Lonchura striata: one gene and its partners. The protein of the gene in region 4 purifies or fractionates together with the protein of the main gene of each other region. This does not show direct contact. Links are inferred from orthologs where the notes say so. Each region holds a gene or a part of one and is shown on either strand. Other genes may lie near its edges.

Region 1 (6,893 bases), on a different chromosome or scaffold from region 4:
AGAAATTTTGCTGGAATTCCAGAGTTAGTTAAGTAAAGTCTGCTGGAATTCCAGAGTTATTTAAGGAAATTTTGCTGGAATTACAAAGTTAAGGAAAGTCTGCTGGAATTCCAGAGTTAGTTAAGGAAATTCTGCTGGAATTCCAGAGTTATTTAAGACAATCCTGCTGGAATTCCAGAGTTATTTAAGGAAATTTTGCTGGAATTACAAAGTTAAGGAAAGTCTGCTGGAATTCCAGAGTTAGTTAAGGAAATTCTGCTGGAATTCCAGAGTTATTTAAGGAAATGCTGCTGGAATTCTAAGGCATGGAAATTCTTCTGGAATTCCAGAGTTATTTAAGGAAATTCTGCTGGAATTCCAGAGTTATTTAAGGAAATTCTGCTGCTCAATATCCCCATGGGACCTCCAAGGCCACCCTTTAATCTCAGGAGTGAAATGGGAATTCAGGAATTTTGGGGTGGAACCGTCTGGCTGGGCAATGGTTTCTGCTGCCCCACCAGCGAGAATTCCAGATCATTCCAGGTACAGCAACAATTCCTGCATCCCAAATTTTCCTCCAGGCGGCTCCGGGGGTTTTCCAGCGACTTTGCAGATGGCAGGAGAAAACAGGGACACAGGGATTTCACCTGGATCAGCACATCCCCTGCCAGCTTCAAAGGCTTCTGCCAGCCTCACATTTCTGTCACTGCTGGTTCCTGCCTCATCGCTCCCTCTAGCTAGTCCAAAAATAACATTTTTTTTTTTTAAAAGGAAAAGGGAAAATTAAAAAAAAAAAAAAAAAGAGGAAAATAGGAAATTTATTAAAAAAAAAAAAAAAAAGGAAAAGGGAAAATTTTATCAAGGAAAACAGGAAAAAATCTTTAAAAGGAAAATAGAATTTTTTAAATAAGGAAAACAGAAAATAATAAAAAAAAACAATCCCGCTCCCAAAATCCCATTGCCAAAATCCCGCTCCCAAAATTATTCTCCTAAAATCCCACTGTCAAAATCCCACTCCCGAATTCCCTCTCCCAAAATCCCACTGCCAAAATCCCGCTCCCAAATTCCTTCTCCCAAAATCCCATTGCCAAAATCCTTCTCCCAAATTCCCTCTCCCAAAATCCCTCTCCCAAATTCCCTCTCCCAAAATCCCTCTCCCAAATTCCTTCTCCCAAAATCCCATTGCCAAAATCCTTCTCCCAAATTCCCTCTCCCAAAATCCCTCTCCCAAATTCCTTCTCCCAAAATCCCATTGCCAAAATCCTTCTCCCAAATTCCCTCTCCCAAAATCCCTCTCCCAAATTCCCTCTCCCAAAATCCCTCTCCCAAATTCCCTCTCTCAAATTCTCTCTCCCAAATTCCCTCTCCCAAATTCCCTCTCCCAAATTCCTTCTCCCAAATTCCCTCTCCCAAATTCCCTCTCCCAAATTGCTTCTCCCAAATTCCCTCTCCCAAATTCCCTCTCCCAAATTTCCGCTCCCAAATTCCCTCTCTCAAATTCCCTCTCCCAAATTCCTTTTCCCAAATTCCCTCTCCCAAATTGCTTCTCCCAAATTCCCTCTCCCAAATTCCCGCTCCCAAATTCCCTCTCCCAAATTCCCTCTCTCAAATTCCCTCTCCCAAAATCCCTCTCCCAAATTCCCTCTCTCAAATTCTCTCTCCCAAATTCCCTCTCCCAAATTCCCTCTCCCAAATTCCTTCTCCCAAATTCCCTCTCCCAAATTCCCTCTCCCAAATTCCTTCTCCCAAATTCCCTCTCCCAAATTCCCTCTCCCAAATTCCTTCTCCCAAATTCCCTCTCCCAAATTCCTTCTCCCAAATTCCCTCTCCCAAATTCCTTCTCCCAAATTCCCTCTCCCAAATTCCCTCTCCCCGGTTCCCGTCCCGGCAGAACCGCCTCGGCTCCATCTTCCCGCCCGCAGTCCCGAGGAATTCCCAATTTCCGAACTCCGGGAAGTTCCCGGCGCCGCCCGTGCACGAGTCGCGGCCGCTCGCCGTTCTCCGCTTCCCCGCCCCAAAAATTAAAGGCGAGGCGAAACTTTCCAGCTCGCAACGCGGCAAAAAAATAAAACCCCCAAAAAAGCGCCGATCAAGCCTTGAATTCGTGCCTGAGAAGCGGCTCCGGGCCGTGGGCACGGAGAGGAACGGGAACGGAGCCCGGCGAGGAACGGGAACGGAGCCCGGCGAGGAACGGGAACGGAGCCCGGCGAGGAACGGGAACGGAGAGCGGAGAGGAACGGGAACGGAGCCCGGCGAGGAACGGGAACGGAGCCCGGCGAGGAACGGGAACGGAGCCCGGCGAGGAACGGGAACGGAGCCCGGCGAGGAACGGGAACGGAGAGCGGAGAGGAACGGGAACGGAGCCCGGCGAGGAACGGGAACGGAGCCCGGCGAGGAACGGGAACGGAGAGCGGAGAGGAACGGGAACGGAGCCCGGCGAGGAACGGGAACGGAGAGCGGAGAGGAACGGGAACGGAGAGCGGAGAGGAACGGGAACGGAGAGCGGAGAGGAACGGGAACGGAGCCCGGCGAGGAACGGGAACGGAGCCCGGCGAGGAACGGGAACGGAGCCCGGCGGTCTCACCCCATCCCCGGCGGCCGCGATCCTCCCGCGCCGCCTCCTCCTCCTCCTTCTCCCCTTCCTCTTTCTTTCTGTCCTTCTCCGGATCCGGATGCTCTTTAAATTTCCTCCGGAATTTCACTTTGAAGCGTTGCTGCAGCTGCTGCTCCGCGGCTCCGGGAGCGGCTCCGGCACCGGGAGCGGTCCCGGGATCGGCACCGGGGAGTGGTGCTGGGAGTGGCACCGGGAGCGGTACCGGGAATGGATCCGGGAGCGGCTCCGGCACCGGGATCGGCACCAGCACCGGGGAGTGGTCCCGGGAGCGGCTCCGGCACCGGGAATAGCCCCGGGAGCGGTACCGGGAGCGGTACCGGGGTCGGCACCGGCACCGGGAGTGGCCCCGGGAGTGGCTCCGGCACCGGGAGCGGTACCGGGATCGGCACCAGCACCGGGGAGTGGTTCTGGGAGTGGCACCAGCACCGGGAGCGGTCCCGGGATGGGCACCGGCACCGGGAGCGGCCCCGGGCGCTCCGGGCTGTGCCCCGGCGCTTCTCCGCCCGCTGCCCGGTTCCGTCCGGCCCGGCAGGGAGCGGCCGGACGGAGCCGGTGCCTGTCCACGCCTTTTGTCCCCCCGCACCGGGCGTTCCCTCCGCGGGCACCGCGGCCCGGGCTCCGCGTTGCCCGGTCCCGCCGGTCCTGCCCGGTCCCGCCGCTCCCTACCCGCTCCCTGCCCGCTCCCGCCGCCCCATCCCGCTCACGTTTGGCCGCTTTTCTTCTCCCGACTTTATTCGCGGCGCCGGCAGCACCACCTGCCGGGACAGGAGCCCGGTGCCACCCCCGGGACGGCGGGGACAGCGGGGACAGGAGCCCGGTGCCACCCCCGGGACGGCGAGGACAGCGGGGACAGGAGCCCGGTGCCACCCCCGGGACAGCGGGGACAGGAGCCCGGTGCCACCCCCGGGACGGCGGGACAGGAGCCCGGTGCCACCCCCGGGACGGTGGGGACAGCGGGGACAGGAGCCCGGTGCCACCCCCGGGACAGCGGGGACGGCGGGGACAGGAGCCCGGTGCCACCCCCGGGACGGCGGGACAGGAGCCCGGTGCCACCCCCGGGGCGGCGGGGACAACGGGGACAGGAGCCCGGTGCCACCCCCGGGACAGCGGGGACAGGAGCCCGGTGCCACCCCCGGGACAGCGGGGACAGGAGCCCGGTGCCACCCCCGGGACAGCGGGGACAGAATCCTCGGGGTTCCCTGAGCCCCAAAACCCTCTGCCCCCCAAACCCCCTCACTCACCCCTGGAATCCAGAATTCCAGCCTGGCAGCACGAACATGAGTGAGAGAACCCCGGGTGTGATAATACTAACCTGGGTGTGATAACCCGGGTGTGGTAACACCAGTGATAACCCGGGTGTGATAACCCGGGTGTGATAATACCAGTGAAAACCCGGGTGTGATAACCTGGGTGTGATAACACCAGTGATAACCCGGGTGTGATAACCCGGGTGTGGTAACACCTGTGATAACCCAGGTGTGATAACCTGGGTGTGATAACCCGGGTGTGATAACCCGGGTGTGGTAACACCAGTGATAACCCAGGTGTGATAACCCGGGTGTGGTAACACCTGTGATAACCCAGGTGTGATAACCCGGGTGTGATAACCCGGGTGTGGTAACACCAGTGATAACCCAGGTGTGATAACCCCGGGTGTGGTAACACCAGTGATAACCCGGGTGTGATAACCCAGGTATGATAATACCAGTGATAACCCGGGTGTGATAACACCTGTGATAACCCAGGTGTGATAACCCCAGTGATAACCCGGGTGTGGTAATACTAACCTAGGCGTGATAACCCCGGGTGTGATAACACCTGTGATAACCTGGGTGTGATAACCCAGGTGTGATAATACCAGTGATAACCTGGGTGTGATAACCCCGGGTGTGATAACCTGGGTGTGATAACCCCGGGTGTGATAACCCCAGTGATAACCCGGGTGTGATAAAACCTGTGATAACCCCGGTGTGATAACCCAGGTGTGATAATACCAGTGAAAACCCGGGTGTGATAACCTGGGTGTGATAACACCAGTGATAACCCAGGTGTGATAACACCTGTGATAACCCAGGTGTGATAACCTGGGTGTGATAACCCGGGTGTGGTAATACTAACCTGGGTGTGATAACCCCGGTGTGATAATACCAGTGATAACCCAGGTGTGGTAATATCAATTCAGTATTTCAATTCAGGATTTCAATTCAGGATTTCAATTCAATATTTCAATTCAGGATTTCAATTCAGGATTTCAATTCAATATTTCAATTCAGGATTTCAATTTAGGATTTGAATGTAGGATTTAAATTTAGGATTTCAATTCAATATTTCCATTCAGGATTTCAATTCAGGATTTCAATTTAAACCGCTGAAATGCAAACTCCTGCAAGGATCGCCCATCTCTTCCAGGAGCAGAAAAATCTCCAATAAACACCAAAATCTGTCCCCAGCTGTTGCTTTTAAACCCAAAATTCCTTTTTTTTCCCCACACATGCTCGAAGTTCCCCTCCAGAACGGCCCCTGAGCCACTTTTCTGTGCGGCTTTACAGAAATTAATCCTGCAGCGCTAAAAATACCCCAAATTCACCTTCCACTTTCTGTTTAAAGCAGCTCATTAAAGCCTCCCCGTGCCCCTGGGGCTGCTGCTTTTCCAGGAAAATTGAAATTATTCCTCACTGGCCGGAGCCTTCCCCTCCATTTCCCCCCATTTTTTCTCCTTTTCCCTTTCTTTAGCTTCTCAAAAGGATTTTCCCCTGCTTTTTTTTTTTTTTTTTTTTGTCCTAATTCGACCTTTTCCACATCTCCCTCTGTCCAAAAATGTCATAAATCAAATTTCAACCGCTGAATTTATTTATTGCCGAGGTGAGGCCACGGCTCAGGGGGGAGAAGCTGAAATTTCAGCTTTTCTGAGCCACTTTTTCTTTTTTCCAAGTGAATTTTCCCTTTTCTTGGGTGGGAATTACCCTGAGTTGCTGCTCAGGAAAATCCCAGGACAGAAAGGCACAGGCAGCTCATTTCCCCCCATTTTTACAATTCTGAGAAAGCAGAAATTTGATTTTTATAATTTTCACATTATACTATATTATACTATATTTCATTCTATTATAATCACATTATATTTTACTATATGTTTATATTAATTATATATTACATTACATTATATATTAACTATATATTGTATTAATATTATCATAGTATATAATAATATATATAATATTATTATTAATATTTTATTATCCTATTTAATAATAAAGAAATATAATCGGGTTGTATTGAACAATAACTCCCAAAGCAGGAGTTACCACCCCAAGCCCAAAGCCAATATTTGTAATTTCTGACAAATAAATAATAAATAAACGTGATGAAAGAGAAATGAATACGTAATATAATAAATAAATAGAATGAAACGGAAATAAATGCATCCTAGAATAAATAAATGTAATGAAATAGAAATAAATAGATAATAAATAAATGGAATGAAAGAGAAATGAAGCTACCATAAATCAGCACAATTCAAGCTAATACAAGGAAGGTGCTGCAGCAAATCCTCCCCAGCCCAGCCAATTAGCCGGGATTAATTAGGCCGGGATTAATTGGGCCGGGTAATTAAAGCTCCCGGGAGGGCGGGGCCCGGCCTCGGGAGGGGACAGGGGACAGGGATGGGAGAGGGGACAAGGGACAAAGAGGAAATGGGGACAGGGAAGGGGACAGGGGAGAGGGGACAGGGATGGGGACAGAAAATGGGACAAGGAAGGGACAGAGAATGGGACAGGGATGGGAATGGGGACAAGGACAGGGATGAGGACGGGGACAGGATGGGACAGGGATGGGGACAGAAAATGGGACAAGGAAGGGACAGAGAATGGGACAGGGATGGGAATGGGGACAGGGACAGGGATGAGGACGGGGACAGGGGAGAGGGGACAGGGACAGAAAATGGGACAGGGATGGGAATGGGGACAGGGAAGGGGACAGGGATGGGGACGGGGACAAGGGACAAAGAGAGGAAATGGGGACAGGGATGGGGACAGGGACAGGGATGGGAATGGGGACAGGGGAGAGAGGACAAGGAACAGAAAATGGGACAAGAAAGGGACAGGGGACAGGGATGAGAGAGGGGACAAGGGACAAAGAGGAAATGGGGACAGGGATGGGGACAGGGGAGAGGGGACAGGGATGGGGACAGAAAATGGGACAAGGAAGGGACAGAGAATGGGACAGGGATGGGAATGGGGACAGGGAAGGGGACAAGGATGGGGAGGGGACAAGGGACAAAGAGAGGAAATGGGGACAGGGAAGG
Region 2 (7,137 bases), on a different chromosome or scaffold from region 4:
GTGGATCCTGTGCTGAACTTTCTTTGTGTTCAGCAGCATCACGTCCTGAGTTTTGGATTGTCAGAACTCAAGTGGTTCTGTGCTGCTCACCCTCACAAGCTTTGTAAATCCATCAGAGTTTTTATGGGGCAGCAGCAGATCACAGAGTAAAGAAATGGCTGCATGGGCAGTCAGACAGTGTAGATTGTGTCCAAAGTGCACAAAGGGCTGAACCTGAAGCAAGGAGATAACTTGATTGGGTTTTTGTTCCTGTGATCTCTTCAGCATCGCTGTTATAGACCTGGGGAACGCAGCCCTTGCTCTGGGCTGTTACTGTGGCAAGCACAACCTGTAGATTTCCTCAGACTGATCATGCCAGGGAGATTATACCCCTTTGCCTCTTGCAAAACAAGGATTTAGGGTTTTCCTGTTGTTGCAGCAGCAATACAGCAGTAATTTACCTCTTCTGGCTCTTGGTACAGGCAGCCTGGAATGCTGTGAGATAAGGGAGGCTTTCTTTTTTGAGAACATATATTGTTGTTTATTTGGAGCAGTTCATATTCTCCAGGCAATGTTTGGCAAATAAATAAAAGGAAAGAGAGAGTTAGTTGGGTGGAAATGCAAATGTTTGCCCCCAAGGTACAATAAGGATTGGTATATGAGGGGCATTTTTGCAGCATGACTGTAGTGTGGATACAGACTCTACTCAGATTTACTGTTCTCATGTTTAAGAAACTCAGTCTGTATTTGCAAGTTATTTTGATGTTCTGCAAGTGTCATCCATTAAAATCAAAAATACAGCCTTTGCCATGTAGAAAGGCAGGAATTGATCCAGCAGTGAGCAGCAGGTGGTTTGGATGCTCTGTGGTGAAATGTTGTGTTGGCTGCAGCCCTTCCTGTGTGGGTTTTGTTTATGCAGCAGATTTAGACAAATTATCTGAACCCATCACGAGTCGACGCCGGAGCTGCAAATGAGCACAACCACATGGGGATGTGGGCTACCCTTGTTTCTGTCTCATTTAATTCAGCCAAGCTTTCCTGAGCAGCCCTGTGCAGGTAAGTCCTGACTATATTTGTGGGTATATTCAGGCATGAATTGCCACAAATTATTACAAATATGAATTGCCACAAACTATTACAACTGGGCCTCACAAAAAATGTGCTCATTTTTCTCTTGTTAGTAGCCAGTTGCCAAATGAAATAAAGATTTTTTTTCTTTCTTTCCCTGCTGTGAGTATTGGGTGATATTATCTTGTAGAAAGTGAGTTTAGCAACATCATTAAGCTTTAGATGGTGGTAGGCGTGAAGATGTGAGAGTGGATTTGACGTGGAGGAACCACACATTAAATATTATTATTAATTATGGATTTTGCAGTGTGGTGAGGCAGAGTAAGAGATTCCAGGCTCAGTGTCTGCAGGTTTTTCCTGAAGGGAACAGGAGATTCCTCTCAGCATGGCTGTGCTGGGCAGTGCAGAACTGGGCAGCTCCTTGGCAGAAATTCAGAGGAGAGTGAAGACAAACAGCCAAAGTGCTGCTGGTGTCAGGGTGGGAGGGCAGAGGAGACTGTCACAGCTGAGAGGGAGGCACGGCCACAGGGATGAGTGAGCAGAGCAGAGATGAAGAATTTAGGGAGGGAGGCAAAGAGAGCTGTGTGTTACAAGCTGCAGGCTGGAAGTAGGAAAGGTGCTTTGGGTACCAGGAGCCAGGAGCTGAGTCCCGGGTGGGAGGCGGTGGGAGCTGCAGCAGCGCTCAGGGCTTGCCCAGAGGATGCACAGCACGCCCGGGATTGCCCTGGGGCCTCTCTGCCTTTCCTGGCCTTCCCCCGGAGCAAACAGCCTCCAGCCTCGGGAGATCACTGCTGCTTCCCTGGAGCAGCAGCTCCAGGCTGCCCGTGGTCTGTGGGCCCCACACGGACTTTGTCAGTGTGAGCTTTTCCTGTTGGGTGCCCAGCAGTAAATCCCTGGGATTGTTCCTGCAGGCCTGACTCCCTCCCAGGGCATTCCTGGGCTGGCCTGTCCTGCTGGTGTGACCGCACATCTGGAGACCATAATGAGCTTGTTGTCTTCCAGTGGTTGCTCAAATCGTTGGACTATTTTTCCCCAAGTTCTTGTTTTCATCACTATGAAGCCAAGTGTCATTTAGCCGATCCATCTGCACTGAAATCCTGTATTTCAAGCACTTTCCTTGTTTTCCTTAAACAACTTTCCTTTGCATAAGAGGTTGGCTGTGCATAGCACCATTTCTGGGACCAAGCTGGACACTTTTATTAACAGCAGCTTTGAAAAGTGCCTGCTTTCCATGTCTCCATCCGGACACCCTTTTCAGTAGAGCCCTGGCGATCTCAGCTGGCAAGTGCCCTTAGAACAATGTCCAGGGTAAACATTTCTGGGGCTTGATTTAACAATGCAACACTTGCTGCCAGCAGTGATAACCCAAACCAGCTGCTGGGGTAGATTTACACCTATTCCCTTCAGGAATGGCTCAGATTAATTAATTTTATGAAAGAAATATGCAATTTATGCACTGTAGCCCTCTCTCAGTTTTTTGCCTCTATTTATATATTGCAGTTAATTGGCAATGCAAGCTTGGGCTTACAAAATGCCAAATTAATTAGGAGACTAAATAAATGTTTTTTCAAAGATATTGTGCCTGCATATATCTGTGAATTACAATATCCTACAGTGGGATGTTAATGAAGGAGATTATCCTGGGTCTTTGTGCCTTCAGTCTGTGAGGTTTGCCCAGATGTGGGACTATACAGGTATTTAATTTAGAAATAAAAAGTCCAGAGTATTTTTCCATTTGGAAAGGACCTATCTCTTTCTAATGTTATGCAACACAGTCATTTTGGTTTGGGTTTGCTGCAGCTGCCAAAGCCTTTCACAGCTGCCTTTCTTAGAGTCAAGGTTCCAACATGTTTTTCAGTGAGACTTAGACCTCTGACACTCTGAACTTCCTTCACAGAGATCAGAAATACCAACAGGACTAGCACATTGTTTTTATTGTCCGTTTCAGTTTGAGACTTTCCAGTGAGATTTTCAAAGGTACATTGCCAAGGTGACAGTTCAAATTAAAATGCATCAGCTTGCACAAGAGAGCAACAGAGTGCTCTTGGGAGAGAGGGAAAGAAAATACCCTCATGGAGAGTGGAGAAAGCACAAAGCAGGGTCTGCTCTTTCCTTCCTGGAAGTTTTATTGTGGAGTTTTATGGGTGGAGGGTTTGGCCCCTTATTTAAGAATCTTTTGAGAGATTCTGACCGTGGAAAGCTCAGCCTGTCAGGAATTGTCCCCTGGGTGTGTTCAGAGCCCAGTGGCAGGACTCCACATTGTGTGGCTGCTCAGTTCCTGAGGGCCACAGGGAAAGGCTCCTGCTCACTTCACTCGCTGCAAACACTTGGAGAACGTGATAGTTGAACTTGCTGCAGTGTGAGGTATTGGAAGAGTAATCTCTTTATTGGTGGCAGATTGTTGGGGTGCTACAATCAGCCCTGTTGTAATTCCTTTGGGCTGAGTAGGTTTGATGGCTCTTGTGTTCCTGTCACAGGGTGTTGCTACACCCTCAGAAATACTTGGTTGTGAAATTATTGAATTGCTGAATGAGCTTTTGTTCTGTCACCTACAGGACTCTGAATGCTCTGTTGTGCTCCGGGAGCTGAAATCCATCAGTGCCTCCCCAAATCCTCCCGAATTGTTCCTGCCGGTGCGGTGTGCGGGGCTCATTCAGCCCTCCTTCACGGGCTGAACCCCGCTCCTCTGGCAGCTTCAGGGAGCTGAGGGTGCATCCCCCATCCTCAGGCTGCTCAGCTCCATCCTTGTCTTCCCCAAAGTCTTTCCCTGCCAGCTGGAGCCGCCGTGCTGCTCCTCTGCGTCTCATCAACTCCCCAGCTCTCAGCTGACAAAATGCTGCCTGTGTTGCTGATGTCTCTGAGTTTCTGCCCGTGAGGGGCCGTTTGGCCCGTGTGACCCTGGCTGTGCTGTCGGTCATGGATCGCACTTCGTGCGAGCGAGCGCCTGCCGGGCTCCGGGAGAGGCTCGGCGGTTCCAGCAGCATTGTTTGCACGAACGCGTTCCGCCCCTGTGCTGCCGAGGGGGTGGGTGTGTTTGTCCCCGATAAAAGATTGGCTTCTGCCCCTCATCTGCCCCAGCAGCCAGAGGAGCCGGGAGCTGGGACTCCCCGCAGCTCGGCAGGAGCAGGGAGAAGCCCTTTGCTCCTAGAAATGGGCAGGAAGGACTTGAGTTACCTTTTCCTCACCATTTTCTGCACAGTGGCTCTGAAGCTGAGCTCTGTCAGCTCCATGTCTGTGGCAGGGCTCGGATATGTTGTTACAGCAGCTCTTGTGCTTTCGGCTGTGGTAAGTGATGGACATCACAATTAAACGCTGAAAAACTTCTGCTTCCAGCTACTTACAGGAATCCATCTCCTTCAACTCTTTGTCAGCGTTTGCCCAGTTTTAGTGGGAATTTGGGAGGATTCAGGCAGGCTGGAATCATGGTGATAAAGTTAATTCTTTTCCATCTTTGATATCTGATTTCAGCTTAGGAATCACTTTGATACCTAACTTACTATTTTGCTTTCTAGCTTGTAACATTCTTTATTTCTGCCTTGAAAACTGAGCATATTTTACTTTTGTCCATCAGCTGCTGTGAACCATCTTCTTTGTCAAAGTACTGAATGCTTCTAATGTAGTATTGTAATGTTTTCTTCCCTGTTACCTGATAGCTCTCAAAGGCATGATGTGATCAATGGACAGTCTTCATTGCCAATACACCAGAAATGTTGTATTTCCTTCCAGAATTAACAAAGTGAATTATTTTATAAGAAAGTGTTCATTATGTTTGTTCGAAAATAAAAAAAGGATATTGCACTGTGTTGATATATTGCATAAGTATGGCAATAAACATATTAAACCAAAATTGCAGTGTCCTTAGGGCAGGATGTTGTGTAAATTAATGTAATTCCTACAAGGGAGGAGTTAAAATAACAGGTCAGAACAGAAGAGCTTTAAGAAACCTCTTAATTACCTAAATATTCAGTGATATTCACAGCATTTTCAATTTGGTTTTCTAAATATTTTTGCAAATTTTTCCAAAATTTTTCTTTCCCACAGCCTGGAATGTCAAGCTTCACTTATGTGCCATACTAAAAAGTTATAAATTAGTAAGAAAAATACAGAGATTAAAATGCAGAGAGAGAGGACAAGAGTCTCGAAGAGGATAAGCCAGTAATAAACCAAGAAGTAGAGATGATTGGAAGTGAAAATTGACAGTGATCAATGGAGAGGGATTCTTTCCACACACATCCTTATTTTTTCCCCCCTTTAAAACTCAGTGCATGAGAAAAAAAGGAAACTTTCCACTTTTTGGCTGGCACAGCAAGTTAGGAGATGAGAAGCAATTTAATTTAAAGACTTCCTTGTGTCCTGCCCACTGAACAGCACCCTCTGTCTCACCCCCAGCCTGTCAGCATGGTGGAACACGCCGAGTTTTTGAAGGCTGGGAAGGAACCCGGCCTTCAGATCTGGAGGGTCGAGAAATTTGATTTGGTGCCAGTGCCAAAAAACCTGTATGGAGACTTCTTCACTGGAGATTCCTACCTGGTGCTGAACACCATCAAGCAGCGCAGCGGGAACCTCCAGTATGACCTGCACTTCTGGTTGGGTGAGTGCTGGGAGTGTCCCTGCAGAGCTGGGACCCAGAGTGACCCCTGAGCCTCTGCTCCACCATGGCCAGGAAACGTTACCCAAGGAAATAAAAAGCAGCACAGTGAGAATGCACTGCTGGGGGTAAATAGCCCTACTCGTGTCAAATATTTGTGTGGTCTCTGCAATAGAGAGTACAGCCACCTCTGATCCTAAAACCAGCTTTTCCTGGCAATAGGACAGGCAAGTCCCTGTTCTGCAGAGGTTCACAGGGAAGGCAAGATCTCAGGTGAAGTCTGGTTCAAATCCTTTTTGCCTGAAAGGAGGGAGGTCAGGTGTGTTCCTCCTGATGAGTGGGATTTTTGCCTCTCCTAAGTGCCCTCTGCTGTCATGTCACAGAGCCTGCAAACCCCAGGCTCTTTGACAATATCACAGTTAAATCTGCTTTCTCCTCCTGTGTTTGCACAGTAGAATGCAGAGGCAGAGCCTGCATCCCCTCCCAGTGTCCCTTTCCATGTTTCAGGTGATGAAAGCTCTCAGGATGAGCGTGGGGCTGCTGCCATCTTCACTGTGCAGATGGATGAGCACCTGCAGGGGAAGGCTGTGCAGCACCGCGAGGTGCAGGGCCACGAGTCCCCCACCTTCCTGGGCTACTTCAAATCTGGCATCAAATACAAGGTGGGTGATAACTGACCCAAGTTTGCAAGAAATGGCATCCTGCCCAATTCCCAGGAGAGTGAGATTTGCCCTTTTTCCAGTTGCTTAAAACCCATTCTCAGCCAGATGTTTTCAATGAGTTGGAACTCAACAGGGTGGAGAACAGCAGATCCCAGTGGGAGAAATTTGGCTGAATTAATAATACACAAGGAAAGCCCCAGAAAGTTTTAGGAATCAAGGTTTTGTTTTTCTTCAAGAGGCAGAGGAAAGAACAGTCCCAAGGCACCTGGAATGAATTTAAGAAGCAGCAAAGTTAATGGGAAACGCCTACCCAGGAGATTTGATTTCTCCCCACTTGCATAACAGTTTGACCTTGCAGTCTCTGTGCTTAGCCCACCCTGCCAGCATGTGCAATGTTTTGGTAAAGGAGATGAACAGTAGTGGGAGTTACTCCTCCCTGCCATCACAATCAAGTGGGATAGAAGTGAAAACATGCAGTCAAGCAGTTGTGTCTGTTAAGAATCCAAAGGCACAAGGAAAGTGATATCAGGTCACATGCTTGCAAAGTGCTCACACTTCCTCATGACTGAGACTTTCCTGATCTTTCTGTTTTGTTTATTTCCCACTCGCTTGTTGTTACTTTTATTCATTTAAAGTTGGTTGTGCTTTTTTTGAGCATAACTGACATGGGTCCTGTTGCCTGCATCGATAAATAATTCCCAGTGTCTATCAGCAGAGAAAGTGAATCCTGAGCTTGGGATAATTTCTGGTAGGCAGGACAAGTTATACACAGGGGAATACACTCTTCCCCCCAGTCCTGGTATGAATCCTTGCTGCTGTGTTTCCCCCCAGGCTGGTGGT
Region 3 (7,170 bases), on a different chromosome or scaffold from region 4:
CCCACATTTTCATGCACTTCTTTTTCATACTGGACAACCATTAGCATGAACAGCACACAACTAGATCTTCTGCTGCAGGGGGATCACAGTACAGAGAGAGACATAACAGCTAAGAAAAGCTGCTGGGAAGCTCCTGGAATGCAGAGGACTGACCAGACCATGTCCCATGTCAGATGATATTTGGAGTTCTAACAGGAACAGGAAAGTCATTTGGATAATAGGTCATAGTCATATACAAGGAGAACAGCAAAAGATGCCAGAAGGAGAGGAAAAGAAAAGAGGCAAAGGAAAACCCCTGCTCAAAGGTCATGCAGAGCAGGAGCACAGCAGCCACTGCAGGGTATGGTCCAGGAAGACACAAACAAGCAACCAGCAGGAGATTAGGAAATAAGGCTGGGGCTGTCAAGAGATGATGAAAACTAGATGGGAACTGCTGGGCCTCATCACAGCTACAGAGAGCTGTGAAGTTTCTTTATGGTGAGAAGCTCACAGAGTCAAAATGGAGTGTGAAAGGCAAAAGTGAAACATGGAGCTTAACATGAGGACCTCACAGGAGAACAGGGCAAGGAGGGACAAGAAAGGACAGAAGATGATTTCTTTCCCAGAACCTGATACAGATGCAGTGGCATGGGGATGGGAGAAGGCTGCACAGGGGTACAACTTCTGTCCAGCATTTAACAACATATCAGATGGTGCCCAAATAGACAGCACAGGGACCTCCTGGGCATTCCTCAGTTTATCAGCCAGCCTGGGCTCAGGCTAGGCAGCAGAGAGAGTAGATTCACCACCCCAATAGTGTCAAAAAGAAGTTTTATCAACACAGTTCAGATATAACCCTTCTGCTGTGCACCCACTATGCCTTCAATGTGATGCATCCAGGACGGTGCAAAGGATGACCATACCTCTCTTTTCACCTGTGAAAGGAACCAAGTCTTCTCTGTCTTTAATATCCTTTGCCTGCTTCTCTAGATGGGCCATGAGTTCCTCCCTTTTGAATGGGCCAGTTGGTGGCTTTTGTGTCTGATCCCGCTGCCTGAGCCCTGCTGGCAACAGTGCATTCTAGACAAGAAGGTGAGAAACACAGGTTATCTCTGCAGGCTATACTCCCCATCCATGAAACACTCTCCCCTCATTGCACTACTCTTCTTCCACAGTGTTGGACAATTTGCTACTCCTTGTCTCAAAGGTTATCTTTGTCCAGCCCCACTGATTCCCACATAATTCAAGATATGTGATGCGCCTTTCCCCCTTCAGTTTCAAATGCTATCCAGTAGCTGTTTCTCTGCAACATCAACTCCAGCCCTTTCCTTCTGGAAGCTCTCACCCATCTTCCCCCCACTATACGAGTCTGTCCAAGTGCCCACAATGCCCCACGTGTCCCAACAAGAATCACTTCAGTTAAATCTCATGATCTTTCACAGAGCAGATCAGAGAGTTGTGGTGGTTTCTTCTGCTTTTCAGGATCCATCACAAAACTACACAGAGGGTCTCACAGAAAAGATCAGATGGTTGCAGAGCAAAACCCCTGTGGATTCCAGCTCTTTTCCAAGCTGCCTCCTTTGTTATTCAGTCACGTAAGCCTCCACGGGAAGTTGGTTTGTGCTTGACACATATGGCATGTAAACACCTGCTTATATTTAAATATAGAACAGCCTTAATGCAGTAAGTAAGACTATTCCCAGATTTGACACTAAGCATGTTCTTTAAGGCTTTACTGGATAGAAGTCAACATTTACTTTTTAAGATATCCAAGGTGATGCTGAACAACACACTTATTTTTCCATGCCTGCCTGATAAAAGTAGTTAATTATAATTTATATCTGTATCAATTAAAAGCCTGGGAAGGAAAATTACTAATAGGAAGCAACTGGACCCAGGCAGCCCTGGAGGGCAAGAGAAGTGTGTGAATTGCACAAGCAGGGAGGCACAGGAGACAGCTTGCTTCCACAAGTTTCATGGTGTGCGAGGCAACTATGCAATCTTCAAGCAGACTACACCTGCACTGACAGAGGCCCATAATTATTTCACCTTTCTTCATCTTTCACAGAGTGCTGCCTGACTCTGTGTCTTCGTGCTTCGTGATAGTTGCAACCAGCCCATCAGTCCATACGCTTAATCCTGGGAGCCAATTTGCCAGGTCTCAAATATTTTCCGGCATTACAATTAAAAATACTGATGATGCAATCTATGGCACCCATCATTTACTCCACAAACACTAACTGTCTGTTGCAGGAGCAATTTCTCACTTGGCAGTGCCCAAGCTCCTCGAGTAACATTGCTGTAAGCCAGAGGCCAGCCAGTTGGCTCTGCACATCCCCTGCAACAGGACAGTGCTGACTTCAAAAACCTTTCACCAGTTTGGCACCAGCAGACCCCATGTTTGCGTATGTGCAGCTCCTGCTGATGCTAGGGGGTTGCTAAAAATAAACTTTCCCACTTTGCAAAACTCTGGGGTTTGGATTTCTACCTAAATGGAGGAAAATACAGGGCATTTGAAGTTTGTTACAAAAAAACCCGAATCCAAAACACAAAAAAACCTCCAGAAAACCCTCAAACCAAGCAACCCGCAAAGCATTCCCTCTAAGGTGGTCTGCTCAGAAATAGGGATCCATTTTCCACAGGATTACTGCACTGCAACCAGCACTGGCTCATATTGCTGCTGCAAGTCACAGTTGCTCATCACATTGGGAAAAGACCAGGAGAACAGAAACAAAGATAAACATGTAGACTGTGCTTCCAATGGCAATTCTACAGCCAGTCTCTTCCACTCTTGCTCCAAGTACAGGCTCTGCAAAGGATCCCACTGAAATACCAATTACTAATGCAGCCCACTCCCCCACAATTACTAAGATTCACGACCTAAAGTCTTGATTAAAAATTACTTACATCAGGATCCAGCTCTTCCAGCTCATTCTCTAACTTCCTGAGCTCCTCCTCTGTCAGAGATCCAAGGATCTGATCTTCATCTAGGTCTCGGTATTTTTCTAGCTCCTTTCTGTAAGACATCTTAGAGGAGTCTCGTGGATCTCACTTTTATGCTGTAACAGAACCTGACAGGAAAACAAGAAGCATTAACACTGAACACATGAAGCATGGTGCTGCAGCCTGCCTGGCTGGGGAGCACTGAACACCTCAGAGCTGGAGATTTATGCTTAAAGCATAGCTGATTTCAAAAGATTCTCAGGGCCCCCCTTTCATATCCCATATGCACATAACCACCCATGGAGGTGAGAGCAGTGCAGCTCTGGTAGCACATTGCCCCACCACAGATTTACCAGACAGGACTGAGGAAGTTCTTGGTACAGGACCCTGGCTAGGGATGTCTTTCTGCAGGCAGAGCTAGATGTTACTGAAGCATCCTGGGCATTTATTTCTTTGAAGGACAATAAACTGTATGTCATGAAGTATACAGGTCTCACGTCCTTACAAGTCCCCAGTAACAACACGCTGCACATGGCACTCCAGATAACATGGTTACCAGATGGGAAAACAGATTTGTAGCACCACTGAGTACCTCTGAGCCCTGAAAACCTCTTCGAGGCTACAGCGTGTGGCACTTCTTCCCATGTTTTAAAGCCACAAGGAGATCAGGAAGTATTATCCACTCAGGTTCAGGAGGCTGCCAGTTAAATGTGCTATTTAGTGACCCACCTTTGCTGAGACAACACACGTTTGCACTGTTGCCAGCTAAGCAGCTGACCTGTGTGCTACTGCATGTTCTAAACCTATCCTTCAAGAAAAGAAGTGAATGGTCTATCTGGATAATCCCTGCTGACCCCAAGGTTTGGTCCATGTCACCTAATATCATGTGTCATACACAATCATATGCATGTAACTAGACCTCTGCAAGCAAAAAGACTGCAGAGAAAAAGGTCAATGTGTTTAAAATATGCAGGTGGGTTAAAAGTACACTCAGTATAACACACAAAAGCATATCCAACTCTGCTCTTTTGATGACAGTCTCCTTCTGCTCCACAGCACTGCCTGTACATTTATATTGTGTTGGCTCCATTTTTGCAGAGAATACTGAGTCCTAGATAATTTAAAGTGATTTTTCTTAAAGTGTTGCTATCCTTTTGAGTGACATTTACATTAAAAATAACAGCAAGGCCTGTGTATTTTTTAGGGAACCAAGCATCTTTTGAGTTTCTATAAATGGTCTCTTTTCAGCTCCTGTGAAACATCAGAGCCCTACCCTGAATCACATCTTTCCAGCTTTGCTTGCCTCCTCAGGACAGATTATGCTCTTATGATCACTCTTCATTAGTGGAGAAGTTTCTTTAGACGAGTTACAACACAGCTGCTGTTCCAGATAGGAAAATTATCTTTAGCTTGGTCACAAAAGGGCACAGTAATGCACACACACTTGCTCAACAGCAAGCCCTTAAATTTAGAAGCTGTCATATTGTCAGACATTTGGTTCCCCACTAGTGTGATGGCAATTCCTGCATCATTCACATTCCTGGCACTCACCACTTAGGAGGTGAAGTGCGAGGAGATGGTGCATTCTTGATGGGAGAAACAGCCCCTGAAGCTCCCTCATCTGGGAACTGAGAGGGTGAAAATCAGTTTTTCACTGGGCTGGTTTGCTCCAAGGAGCAGCCATCAACCTGTGGGCACCAGAGCCAAGGGCAGCCATGAGGGTGAGGAGGAAGCAGGAGTGGTGGGGCTCAGTGAGTGAGGGAGGTGGAAGGAACCCCACAGTTCCGTGAGTGAGGGAGGTGGAAGGAACCCCACAGTTCCGTGAGTGAGGGAGGTGGAAGGAACCCCACAGTTCCGTGAGTGAGGGAGGTGGAAGGAACCCCACAGTTCCGTGCTTCCCCAGCACCCTGCAGCCCCCAGTGCGGGGCTCCCTGTGCTGCGGGGCTGGTGGGCAGCAGCCACATATCAGCCAGCCCACGGGCCATGTCCAGCAGCTCAGCCCCTGCAAGCCTGCCCTTCCTGCAGGCACAAAGAAGGGCAGAGCCTTTACTGCAATTGCCCATAAACACTGAGGTGGGAGATCCTAGAAAAGCAGCCTGGACTTGGATCTGGATATGCACTGTGCTACTGTGGCCTTAGATTGCATTGCATGAGCCATGACTAGCCAGGATTTCATATGCCATATGTAGTTTTCACCATTCTGCCATGGAAGGAGCTGGAGCTAGGAGCAAGCAGAAAGGCAGAGAATAACCAACCCCAGGCTGCTAAATTCTCTATAATGGCTTAAAATACCCACACCTGCCACACACATGGCAGTATCTGTCTTGGCTATATGAGGACAACTATTCCCACAGATAGCCACAGACCTTTCCCAGAATGCAGGCAAGACTGCAAGCAGGGGCCTGTCTGGGACCAGAGCGCAGCCCCGCAGGGTGACCTTGTTGCCTCCCTCCAGAAGGACAGAGATGTCAGCACCGAGAGGCAGGACAGACATGGGATGTCAGTGCACACAGGCAGTGCTTCTGGAAAACGCCTCAGGTTTCAAAGCATCTTGCAGAGATATTAAGCTGAGGCTGCATATAGCAAAGGCCCTGAGGGTTGAGGACAGGTGCAGAGCCTGCTGAAATGCAGCTGAAATCCCTGTTGGGGGAATTTAATTTGCTACATACCCCAAAGAGAAATGCTGGGGGGCACAGTGCCCTCCCAGACTTGCTGGAGCAGCCAGATAGTGCTGGCACCTTGCACATGTCCCGCAGAGAGCACACCGAGAGGACTGCTCATCAGGAGCACCAGCCTTGCCCATAGCAGCAGGACATTCTGTACTGCTCCCCTGCCTGCAGTGCCAGCTGTTCAGCATAGTGTCCTCCAGCACAGCCTCCAGGACCAGTATGTTCACTGGCACTCCCTTATCTCCACATCCCAGGCCTCTTCTACCCTGTCTTGCTAATGAGTGCTGGGAGAAGAAAGCAAACCAGCCCATCTGCTGTAAATGGAAGAGAGCTTTGAACTGCCAGTGATAAGAAAGAACACAGGTCCCACCTTCACCTGAGCTCAAACTAAACAGCAAGGTCCTTCAGCACAACTTGAGTTCTCACTCTTTTTCATTAACCCTATCACTCTTAATTCAACCAACTAAGGAAGCATCACAAAAGAATTTAAGTGCAACATACATATACTGCACAGAACTGACACTGTTGCAACTTTAAGTCCTCAAAACATTGAAATTCATATAGATTACAAAGACAGCAAGATATTAGGTCTCTTTGTAGTACTTTGTGTACTTGTCAGTTATACAGGAAGACAGCCCAAGCACTTGCACTTGATAAATCCAAACAGCACACAGGTTGGAATGCACAACAATCATTAAAATTGTTAAAGGAGAAAAATTTAATTGGCTGGGAGATAATAAAAGGTCATCTACAGGAAAGACTGTTCTCACCATGAATATGGGAAAACAAAACCAAACACAACAACATTCTGATCATGAGGGGGATAGAACAGTTTCTTTCTGAAGGGTTCAAAAGTGCTGAGCAACCAAATGGATGCTGAAAATAAGTGAAAATTAAAAGCATCCTGTATAACACTGGAAATAATTCTTTCACAGTGCTTTGCACTGGTACAGCCCCCTGCAGCACCATGACCTTTTTGGGGTGCAGAAAACTGACAGCAGCACAGGGAAGCAGTGGAAATCCATCTGGGAAAGCGGCCTACGTGGGGCCCACTGTTTCACCACCAGCCGAGGGCAGGCATCAGCACTTGGTTGTGCTCTTCAGGTGGGCAAGCAGGGAGGGCAACAGCAGGGCAGCAATGGGCTTGGGCTACAGCAGGCTGCTCAGGAATGCTGTGGAGCAGCACCCATACTGCTGAGTCAAAAGGCCTGCTGAATTATCCCTCCGTGATCCAACAGCTCCAGGAAAAAGAACAAATGCAGAGAGGAAAAACTGGGTAAAGAGACAGGAACAACAGCAAGACAAATTTCAAGAAAATACAAAAATGTCACAGTGGAAGCTGGGGTGCAGTGTCAGGCATGCCATGTGACACATGCTGTGTGACATCTGGCACACGCTGTGCCGGGCAGCCCAGCACCTCCCCGCACAACCTCCCAGCATGCCAACACCAGGACTGCATAGAAAGCACTTCCCTTCATGAAAATGTAGGGAGAAAGAGCAACTAAGCTCAGCAAAGGTGCAGGGCTTTCCAGGGTTAAATTCTGTTATCAGTCCAAGCCAACCCTGGCTCCAGGGGTCT
Region 4 (7,930 bases):
ACCTCGTGGCGCTGGGACATTATTACCACCCCGAGGAGTTCATCTGCTGCCAGTGCAGGAAGGTGCTGGATGAGGGCGGCTTCTTTGAGGAGAAAGGCTCCATCTTCTGCCCCAAGTGCTACGACACGCGCTACGCACCCAGCTGCGCCAAGTGCAAGAAGAAGATCACTGGGGTGAGTGTCCCTCAGCCTGCCCTCCATCTCCTGTCCTTGTCCTCTGCTGTGAGTGCCTGGCTCTGTCCCTTCCCGCCTTGGTCCATCTCAGGGGATTCCTTGACCCTTCCTGCCCTTGGTGCTCCTGCCCCTGGCTGACAGTGGCTCCCCTCCAGGAGGTGATGCACGCACTGAAGATGACCTGGCACGTGCAGTGCTTCACCTGCAACGCCTGCAAAACTCCCATCCGCAACCGAGCCTTCTACATGGAGGAGGGACAGCCCTACTGCGAGAGAGGTAGGACCCAGGGGCCCCATGTGTCACCTCATGTGGCCCTGGGGCGCATTGGGACTCAGCAGCTGCACACAGGGCTGGGGGTATGAGCTGCCCTGCTCTGCAGGGCTCCCCCTGGGCTGCGGGGAGCACAGAGACCCCAATCCCACAGCCCTGAGCCCTCCACCTGGTTCTCCCTAGCTGCAGGGTAGTGCCATAGCTCCTATGTTGCCATGGCGATGAGGGAGGATGTACATCAAAGCGAGTGCTGCATCCTGGGAGATGAGGTTCTCCTCCTCCCCCTGGAGCTCTGTGTTGGCTATGCCACCCTACACCTTTCCCGGGTGTCCCAGGCTTTTTCTCACCTGAATGGGGGCTGGCAGAGTTGTCCCCAGGCTGTGCCTGTGGGATCCTGGCTGAGCTGCAGCCCTGCTCCCCTGGCATGAGCGGCTGTAGTGCATGGAAATGCTGACCTGGCTCTGCCTTTCCTCACAGACTATGAGAAGATGTTTGGCACCAAGTGCCGCGGCTGTGACTTCAAGATCGATGCTGGGGACCGGTTCCTGGAGGCGCTGGGGTTCAGCTGGCATGACACTTGCTTTGTCTGTGCGGTGAGCAGTGTGCCTCCCTCCCCGACTGTTGCAGGGCCTGTGCCTCTCCCCGACAGTCCTGCTCTGGGTGGGGTACACCAGCAGCACAGGGAACCTGCTGCCACAAGATTTGTCCCACTTGCCTCCGTTCCGGACGCCTGGGGCTCTGCTCTGAGCCTTCTGTTCCCTCGCAGTGCCCCAGGGCCATGTGGAGGTCCCTGTGTAACACCAGTGCTGGGCTGTGGGGGACCAGAGGCTGACTCAGCCCCCCGACCTGACCACCTGTACTTTCCTCCCCAGATCTGCCAGACCAACCTGGAAGGGAAGACGTTCTACTCCAAGAAGGACAAGCCTCTGTGCAAGAGCCATGCTTTCTCCCATGTGTGAGGGGTGGGAATTCAGCTGTGCCTACACATGCCCCTGGCCCTGCATGCTCCTCTTCCCCTGCCCTGCTGGCCCCAGGGAGCCAGACTGGGCCCTTGGCCCTTTCCCTTGCTTCTGCCTCTTTCCTGGCAGCTCCTGGCTCGACTTCAGCCAGATACAGTGCTGGGTCCAGAGCCTTTTATAGCTGGGTGGCTTCTTACATGCTTCTCAACTGGCCCTAGGAGCCCTGGAAAGGGGATGCTGCATGGATCTCCTGCCCCTGAGCCACGCAGCATGGTGGGTACAACCATGCTGAGGCTGGAATTGGAGGGGGTCTGCCACGGCTGGCCTGCTCCCTTGCTGCCTGGCAGCTCAGTGCTGGGGCAGGGATACTCCTTACACATCCCTGAGTGGGTGAGGACCAGCTCTTGTCTCACTCTCCCCAACCTTCCCTGCTGTGTGCTTGGGGCTGGAGACCCGGCCCTGCTCCCCTGCTGGGGCCCTGCCCATGACAACCCACCAGCCACCCTCAAACTGCAGTGGCTTCCTGCCCCAGTTGCATTCCAGGGGTGTCTGTGCCTCATGCCTCCCACCCTGCTGCCCCCCTGCTCCCCTGGGGCTGGCAACACCCCCAGCCTGGCATGGCCCAGCCGTGGGCTGGCAGCGTGTAATGATGGCCAGCCCAGTCAGGCTGCTGCTCCCGCAAGGCTTGGGCACAGCTTCCTACCAAAGAGATCTCTGCCACTGCCATCCTGGGGCCACCGATGCCTCCCCCCAAACCACACCCTCTGGTCGGGCTGCGCTGATGTAGCCACGGTGCTTTTAGTGCCTTTAATAAACACATCTCTGCAAGTGCCGGCTGTCTCCAGGCCAGTGGTTTTGCCGAGTGAGGTGTGGCCGGCTGGGAAGGTCATGCTCTGCCCTCATCCCGCTCCCTCTGGGGCCTGACTCAGCTCCTTCCAGCTTTCCAGGGAAACTCTTCGCCTCAGATTTCTCCACCTCTGCCCAGGCTTGACCTTTTGTGTCGGCTGGGTCGTCCCTCTTGTAGCAGGCAGGACCGCTAATGGGGGCAGTAATTAATCTGGGGGGCAAAATGCAGCAAGGAGAGATGGGGAAGGGGTGAGACCTTAGTGGAGGTCCTTGTATACCTGGCAGCGTCCTGAGTACTGTAGAGGGGTTGAGGAGTCGTGGGGCACGCGTGGGCCACGTGCACCAGCTCTGGGCGTTCTCCAGCGTGGAGCGGCCAAGCGTTCGCTCACACGCTGCAGCTGCCGTCCCGAAGGACGGCTGAGGCCACACCAGCACCTCCGGCTGGAACGGGCTCGAGGGCAGCGCGTGTGGGTGTTCTCCTCCCTCTCCACTCTGACAGCTGGAACGGTCATTAATAATTGCAGCTCTTGCCATGATGAGCAATTGTAAGGAAAATCGTCTTGCTCATCTACTGGAAGGTTCTGCCTGGGGCAGGAGCTGGCTGTGGGAAGCCAAATACCTCCTGGCATCACCCAGATCTGGGCTGCGGTGCCACATCTTCTCACTGCCAGTTCCAGGAGTGCAAAAGCACATCAAAGATGGGGCAAGGAAAGGTGAGGGATGAAGTCAAGCTGGGGCTGGGCCAGGCAGTCGGGCTGGGGCACGTGAGAGCAGTGGGATGGTCACACTGAGAAGCAGCAGGACATGGCACAGAAGCAGCTGGTGCCTGCCTGGCAGGGCTGGCAGGAGCAGGGCTGAGTGCCCACGTGTGAGTCCCAGCTGTGCAGCCAAGGTCAGAGGAAGCACAGGGGAAGGTGAGGTGGCTGTGGCCCCACATGGGCAGGCCCTGAACCAACCCTGGGTTGGCTGGACAGCAACCCGTGAGTGGAGGGTAGGAAAGGGGCAGGGGCAGGCAGTGGTGCGGGACGGAGCCTGCTGGGCTAGCACAGGCTGGGAACAGGTTCTGCCAGATCAGCCCCGGGGTGCCCAGCTGTGCAGCAGGGCCAGGGTGCTACAGTCAACCTGCCTCTTCCCTGGGGAGAGCCAAGCATCCCCTGGTGCCACTGCAAGGTCTGTGCTCGCGGGGGGCTTAGCTCTGCTTGGTTCCCTGTTGCCTCTGGGCCCTCCTGATGACTCCTCTACCACCCAAGGTGCCTCTGCGCTTTGCCAAGGGCATCTCTTGCCCACCAGCTCTGCGCACCATGTGAGGACCTTGTGCACAGGCAGCGGAAGGAGGGTCTCGGGTGGGCTGCGGAGGTGGAGCCTGGGGAGGGGCTGCAGCCTCGCTGCTCGGAGAACAAAGCCTGGCGGCGGTAGGCTCGGAGCTCCCACCACATCCCTGAGCGGGGTCTCACCACATCCACCCCCAAAGCCATCTGAGCCGCTTGTGGGGCGCCTGCCCCGGCCCCAGCCCCCGCGCTGGCCCCGGCAGCTGCTCCACAGCTGCTCCCAAACTCTCACAGCCTCTTAGGGCGGCTCCGGCTCTGGCCTCGCTCGGAAATGCTGGTGTGAGGAGGGCGTGGGGGGAGCGGGCGGCAGCGCCAGGACCCTCGGCACCCTGTCCCATGTCCCTCATCTCCCATGTCCCCGTGTCCCACGGGCTGCCTGAAGGGATTCTTTTGTGACGGGCCACTCCACCAACATCCCCATCCCGCAGGAATCGGGCCCTGCGTGCTCTCCATTGCTGCTCTGGCACAGAGACCCCTCCAGCGCGGTGCTGGTCCAGGCTGGGGGCAGCGCCGGGGACAGGGAATCGCTGGCAGGAGCATTAGGACCTGGCTGAGAGCCCCTTCAGAGCCCTTCGAGGGTCAGTGCAAAACCAGCTGTGGGGTCGCACAGAGGCAAAACCTCCTGAAAAAGGTGATTGAAGGGTTCTGAAAGGACCGGTGGCTTGGCAGTGGTGGGGGTAGAGGAGCAGATGGGCAGCAAAGACGCCCCCAGAAAGGCTGTGTCCAGTGACCCCTTGTGCGAGCAGTGAGGGCATGGCTGGGTGTTTAGGGCAAAGCCGACGGTGCCGTGTCCTTGGAGAGGAAACCTTGGACACGGGGGCTCGGCGTGGGGCAGCGGAGGGCACGGGAAGCCATGTGTGCCACATCCCTGGGTGTAGAGGATGTGGGGCAGGGGAGAATATGGGAATGGAGAGGACCACCCAGCACGAGAGGTCTCCAGAGTGCAAGTTCCCAGGAGGGGCAGCGCAGGATGCGTCCCCAGGGCGGAGGAGAGCCCGGAATGCGAAATCACCCGGCGTGCAGGTTCCCAGGAGGAGCTGAGCCGGGGTTCAGTGTCCCTGGGGCTGGGGACGGCCCGGAGCGCGGTGTTGCGGGGGCAGAGCAGAGCCCAGGCTGCGGGATCCCGGGGGCGAGCTGCGTGCGGGGGCGGCCCGCGGCGGGGGTGATGCTGCCCGCACCCCCGGGGTCCCGGCTCGGGGCCGGGCGGCGCGGCCGGCGGGCTGCCCCGGGGGCGCCCCGGGGGCGCGGCGGGGGCGGGGGCCGGGCGGGGGGGCGGAGGGGAGGGGAGGGGGGCCGCCGTTCGCGGCGCTAGGACCGGGCGCGGCGGCGGGCGGAGCCTCCCCGCCGCTCGCCCCTCCGCCCGGCCGCTGCGGCAGTGTCTCGGAGGCGGGCAGGCGGCCGGTCCCTCCGGTCCCCCGGCAGCATCCCGGCCCCGCCATGGCTGGCGTCGGCTTCGCGGCGCACCGCCTGGAGCTGCTCGCCTCCTACCAGGACGTGATCGGCGAGGACAGCCCCACCGACTGGTGAGCGCGCCCGCCGCCGCCGCCGCCCCTTTGTCCCCGCCGCCGCCGCCGCCCTTTGTGCACGGAGCCGCCCGGTAACACCGGCCGCGCCCCGAGCTGCGCCCCCCGCCGTCCCCGCGAGCCCCGGCACACAAAGGCGGGCGGGGCGGCGGGGGGTGTGCCCGGCTCGCCGCCCCCGGTGCCCGCACCTGCCCGCCGCACCGGGCCGGGGCGCGGTCCCCGCTTTGTCTGCGCCGGGCCGGCACGTGCGGGCGCCGGGACCCGTCGGCCCCGGGAGTCCCGGCACGGCCCGGTCCGACCCCCAGCCGGGCAGCGAGAGCGGGGAGCGGGGGAATTCGCGCACGACGGGGAGGGCCCCGTGGGGCTCCCCGGTGCTGGGCCCGGCACCGGTTCCTCGCCATTGTCTGGAGCTGGAGCCGCGGGCAGGGGCGCCGGGGCAACGGGGGATGGGGAGGGGATCGGGGCGCCCGCAGCCCGGCCCCGCTCCCGACCGGTCCTGCTCCCGACCGGCTTCACCGGTATCCCGGCAGCGGGCGGCCCCGCTGCCCGGCGGAGAGAGGCCTGAAGCCGCGGGGACACCGAGCATCTCCCGCCGCTCCCGCTACCCTGAGATTCCCCCAAGCTCCGGGGCTGCCGCATCCCTGGGGGGTCGCGGTGTGTCGGCCCGGGGTTGCCCCGCCGGGCTGGGGTTGCTGTTGAGTCGGGGAGGGGAGTGGTTCTCTCCGCTGGGACCCCCGGCTTGTCGCGCTGCCCGCGCCCCGGTGCGGGGCACCGGTTGTCGAGGTCGGCTGGATCCGGGCCCGCTGCAGGGAGCATCACCCACTGCCAGCCCACCCGCATCTCCCAGCCCAGCCGGGTGCCGGGAGGCTGGCTGGGGCCATCTGCCCCGCCATCCCCTCCCTGCCCTCCAGGGTGCCTCTGGCAGGCTGGGTGGGAGCGCTGCCGGCGCGCTGGGGCGCATCTCGCTGGGCAGTGTGGAGTGCTGGGTGCATGCTGTGCATGATGCTTTTGGTGGGGGGCGGACGGAGGAGAGCTACTGTGCACCCACCATCCAGCCAGGGGCATCCACCACCCCTCCGGGATATACCCACCGCCCATCCGGGGACTCCCACCTCCCAGCTGGGCTGCACCCACAACCCAGCCGGTCAGACGTCTGTCTCTAAGCAGGTCCTTGCTCTCAGGACAGGGCTGGGTGGGCCTGGGCAGGTCCAGGTGCCCCCAGTCCCCGGGGGTCTCCGGAGGGCCCCACAGTCCCGCTGTCAGCCCAGGGGCGCTGCGGGCAAGCGCCGTGTGTGTCGCCGGCCAGGCGGCAGCTGTCAGCCCTGGGTACATCTCGCTTCCCGGCATCCGCTGCAAAGGAGCCGTCCCTGCCAAAGCTGCTGAGAGAAGCAGAATCGGTTCCCGGGAAGGCGAGGGGGCCGGTGGCGGCTCCCCCACAAACACCTCCAACGCTGATCCCGGCCAGGCAGTGATCCCCTGGCATCCCCATCCGTGGGGCTGACTTTGGTCCATCGTCCCCAGCTGCTCCAATGTCCCCAGCCACCCCATGCCATTGTCACCGGAGCTCCTGGCACTCAGTGCCTGTGGGAACATCATCCCCTCTGCAGGGCCCGCTGCGGGGGTGCTGGATGAGGGGCGATGCTGGTGGGGCTCCATCGGGCAAGGTGATGGGGACAGTCCACGGGGAGGAGGGCCCAGACTGGCTGAGCCAGGGAGCTGCCTGGGGGGACACTGTGCCAGAGCCTGGCCCTGGGCCGCCACCGCGGAATGCCACGCTCATGCCCGCCCGGGATCCCTCGGTTTAGTCTGGGATTTCCCCTGCTCCAGCCCGGTCCTGAAGGGTCCGAGCATCCCCTCCCCCTGCCCGGCCCCGCGAAGGCTGCTGGGGCCCATTACTCGATCGGAAAGGAATTTGGTGCTGCTTTCTGAGCACGCCGACTCCCTGGAGCTCCCAGCCACATTGGAAACACATGTGCCGGGGCTGGGGCGGGAGGCTGGGGCGATGTGACCCCTCCCTGGCCGTGGCATGGGGGGTGGGCTGCCGCGGGAGCCCCGTTCCGGCGCCCGGGGATGCTGCTCTGCCTGCTCCGGTGAGCAGCGGGGCCATGCGAGGGCAGCGGGGCTGCGGTGCCTTTGCCTGGGGTGATGAGGGATCCTCAGTGGAGGCCCCCGGCTGCGGGGAGCCCCCGCTCCGGGCTGCACAGGGCATCTCCACCCACGGGTGACCCACATACCTGGAGCCCGGGGGTGGGAAAGGGCTGTATGGGTTGGGTGGAGGGATTAAAGCCATGGAAGTGGGGTAAGTGATGCATGATGCTGACAGCACCCGCTGTGACACAGCTGGTCCCCACTGCCAGGGGTTGTGGTGGTGCTGTTGGGCTGTGGGGCCCTGGGGGCACCCCTGGGGATGCTACTGGCCCCAGCACGGCTTCTCTGTCTCCTGGAATGGAAACCTCCATCCTGGCATGGAGTCAGGCTGTGCTGCTGAGCTGTGTCCACAGCAAGCCCCATCTGCCCTGGGAGCACCCCCGGGTGCAGGCAGCAGCTTTGTGTCCAGAAACCACCCAGCATGGCAGGGTTCTGGGGAAGAAAAGCAGGCAGTGGGTGCCCCCAGCACCCACAGGGCTCCCCAGGCAGTGATGCTGTAGCTCTGCCCTACTTCTTTTCTCCTGTCTGCTGCCAGCTGCATCCCACCCTGCCAGCTTCCAGCTCGCCGCCCTGGGCTCCCCCAAACTGCTGCCATTCCTCCCCCATTCCTGGGGGGACCAGGGGCTGCATTTGCCACCCTTCCCTGTCACAGACGGCACTTTGCAGCTGTTCCAGGCCTGGAA

What was found.
Region 1: the proteins of DBN1 (region 4) and HOMER3 purify together in Homo sapiens (co-immunoprecipitation; 3 studies listed by BioGRID and IntAct, counting the BioPlex papers as one, with this or other methods). This does not show direct contact. The link is inferred for Lonchura striata from reciprocal best matches to the Homo sapiens genes DBN1 and HOMER3.
Region 2: the proteins of DBN1 (region 4) and GSN purify together in Homo sapiens (co-immunoprecipitation; 3 studies listed by BioGRID and IntAct, counting the BioPlex papers as one, with this or other methods). This does not show direct contact. The link is inferred for Lonchura striata from reciprocal best matches to the Homo sapiens genes DBN1 and GSN.
Region 3: the proteins of DBN1 (region 4) and TMOD1 purify together in Homo sapiens (co-immunoprecipitation; 3 studies listed by BioGRID and IntAct, with this or other methods). This does not show direct contact. The link is inferred for Lonchura striata from reciprocal best matches to the Homo sapiens genes DBN1 and TMOD1.

Annotation. Positions count from the first base shown.
Region 1 is NC_134630.1:7,419,489-7,426,381, forward strand, and holds the start of HOMER3 (homer protein homolog 3), read right to left. Parts: upstream 3,018-6,893; 5' UTR 2,564-3,017; intron 1-2,563. UniProt on the Homo sapiens protein: Postsynaptic density scaffolding protein. Binds and cross-links cytoplasmic regions of GRM1, GRM5, ITPR1, DNM3, RYR1, RYR2, SHANK1 and SHANK3.
Region 2 is NC_134624.1:9,499,084-9,506,220, forward strand, and holds the start of GSN (gelsolin), read left to right. Parts: upstream 1-4,133; 5' UTR 4,134-4,197; coding exon 4,198-4,332; intron 4,333-5,436; coding exon 5,437-5,638; intron 5,639-6,142; coding exon 6,143-6,297; intron 6,298-7,128; coding exon 7,129-7,137. UniProt on the Homo sapiens protein: Calcium-regulated, actin-modulating protein that binds to the plus (or barbed) ends of actin monomers or filaments, preventing monomer exchange (end-blocking or capping).
Region 3 is NC_134642.1:47,768,827-47,775,996, reverse strand, and holds the start of TMOD1 (tropomodulin-1), read right to left. Parts: upstream 3,007-7,170; coding exon 2,887-3,006; intron 1,060-2,886; coding exon 903-1,059; intron 1-902. UniProt on the Homo sapiens protein: Blocks the elongation and depolymerization of the actin filaments at the pointed end. The Tmod/TM complex contributes to the formation of the short actin protofilament, which in turn defines the geometry of the membrane skeleton.
Region 4 is NC_134617.1:3,198,549-3,206,478, reverse strand, and holds the start of DBN1 (drebrin), read left to right. Parts: upstream 1-4,913; 5' UTR 4,914-5,013; coding exon 5,014-5,099; intron 5,100-7,930. Other genes in the region: PDLIM7 (PDZ and LIM domain protein 7), read left to right, coding at 1-173, 329-449, 921-1,036, 1,316-1,402. UniProt on the Homo sapiens protein: Actin cytoskeleton-organizing protein that plays a role in the formation of cell projections. Required for actin polymerization at immunological synapses (IS) and for the recruitment of the chemokine receptor CXCR4 to IS.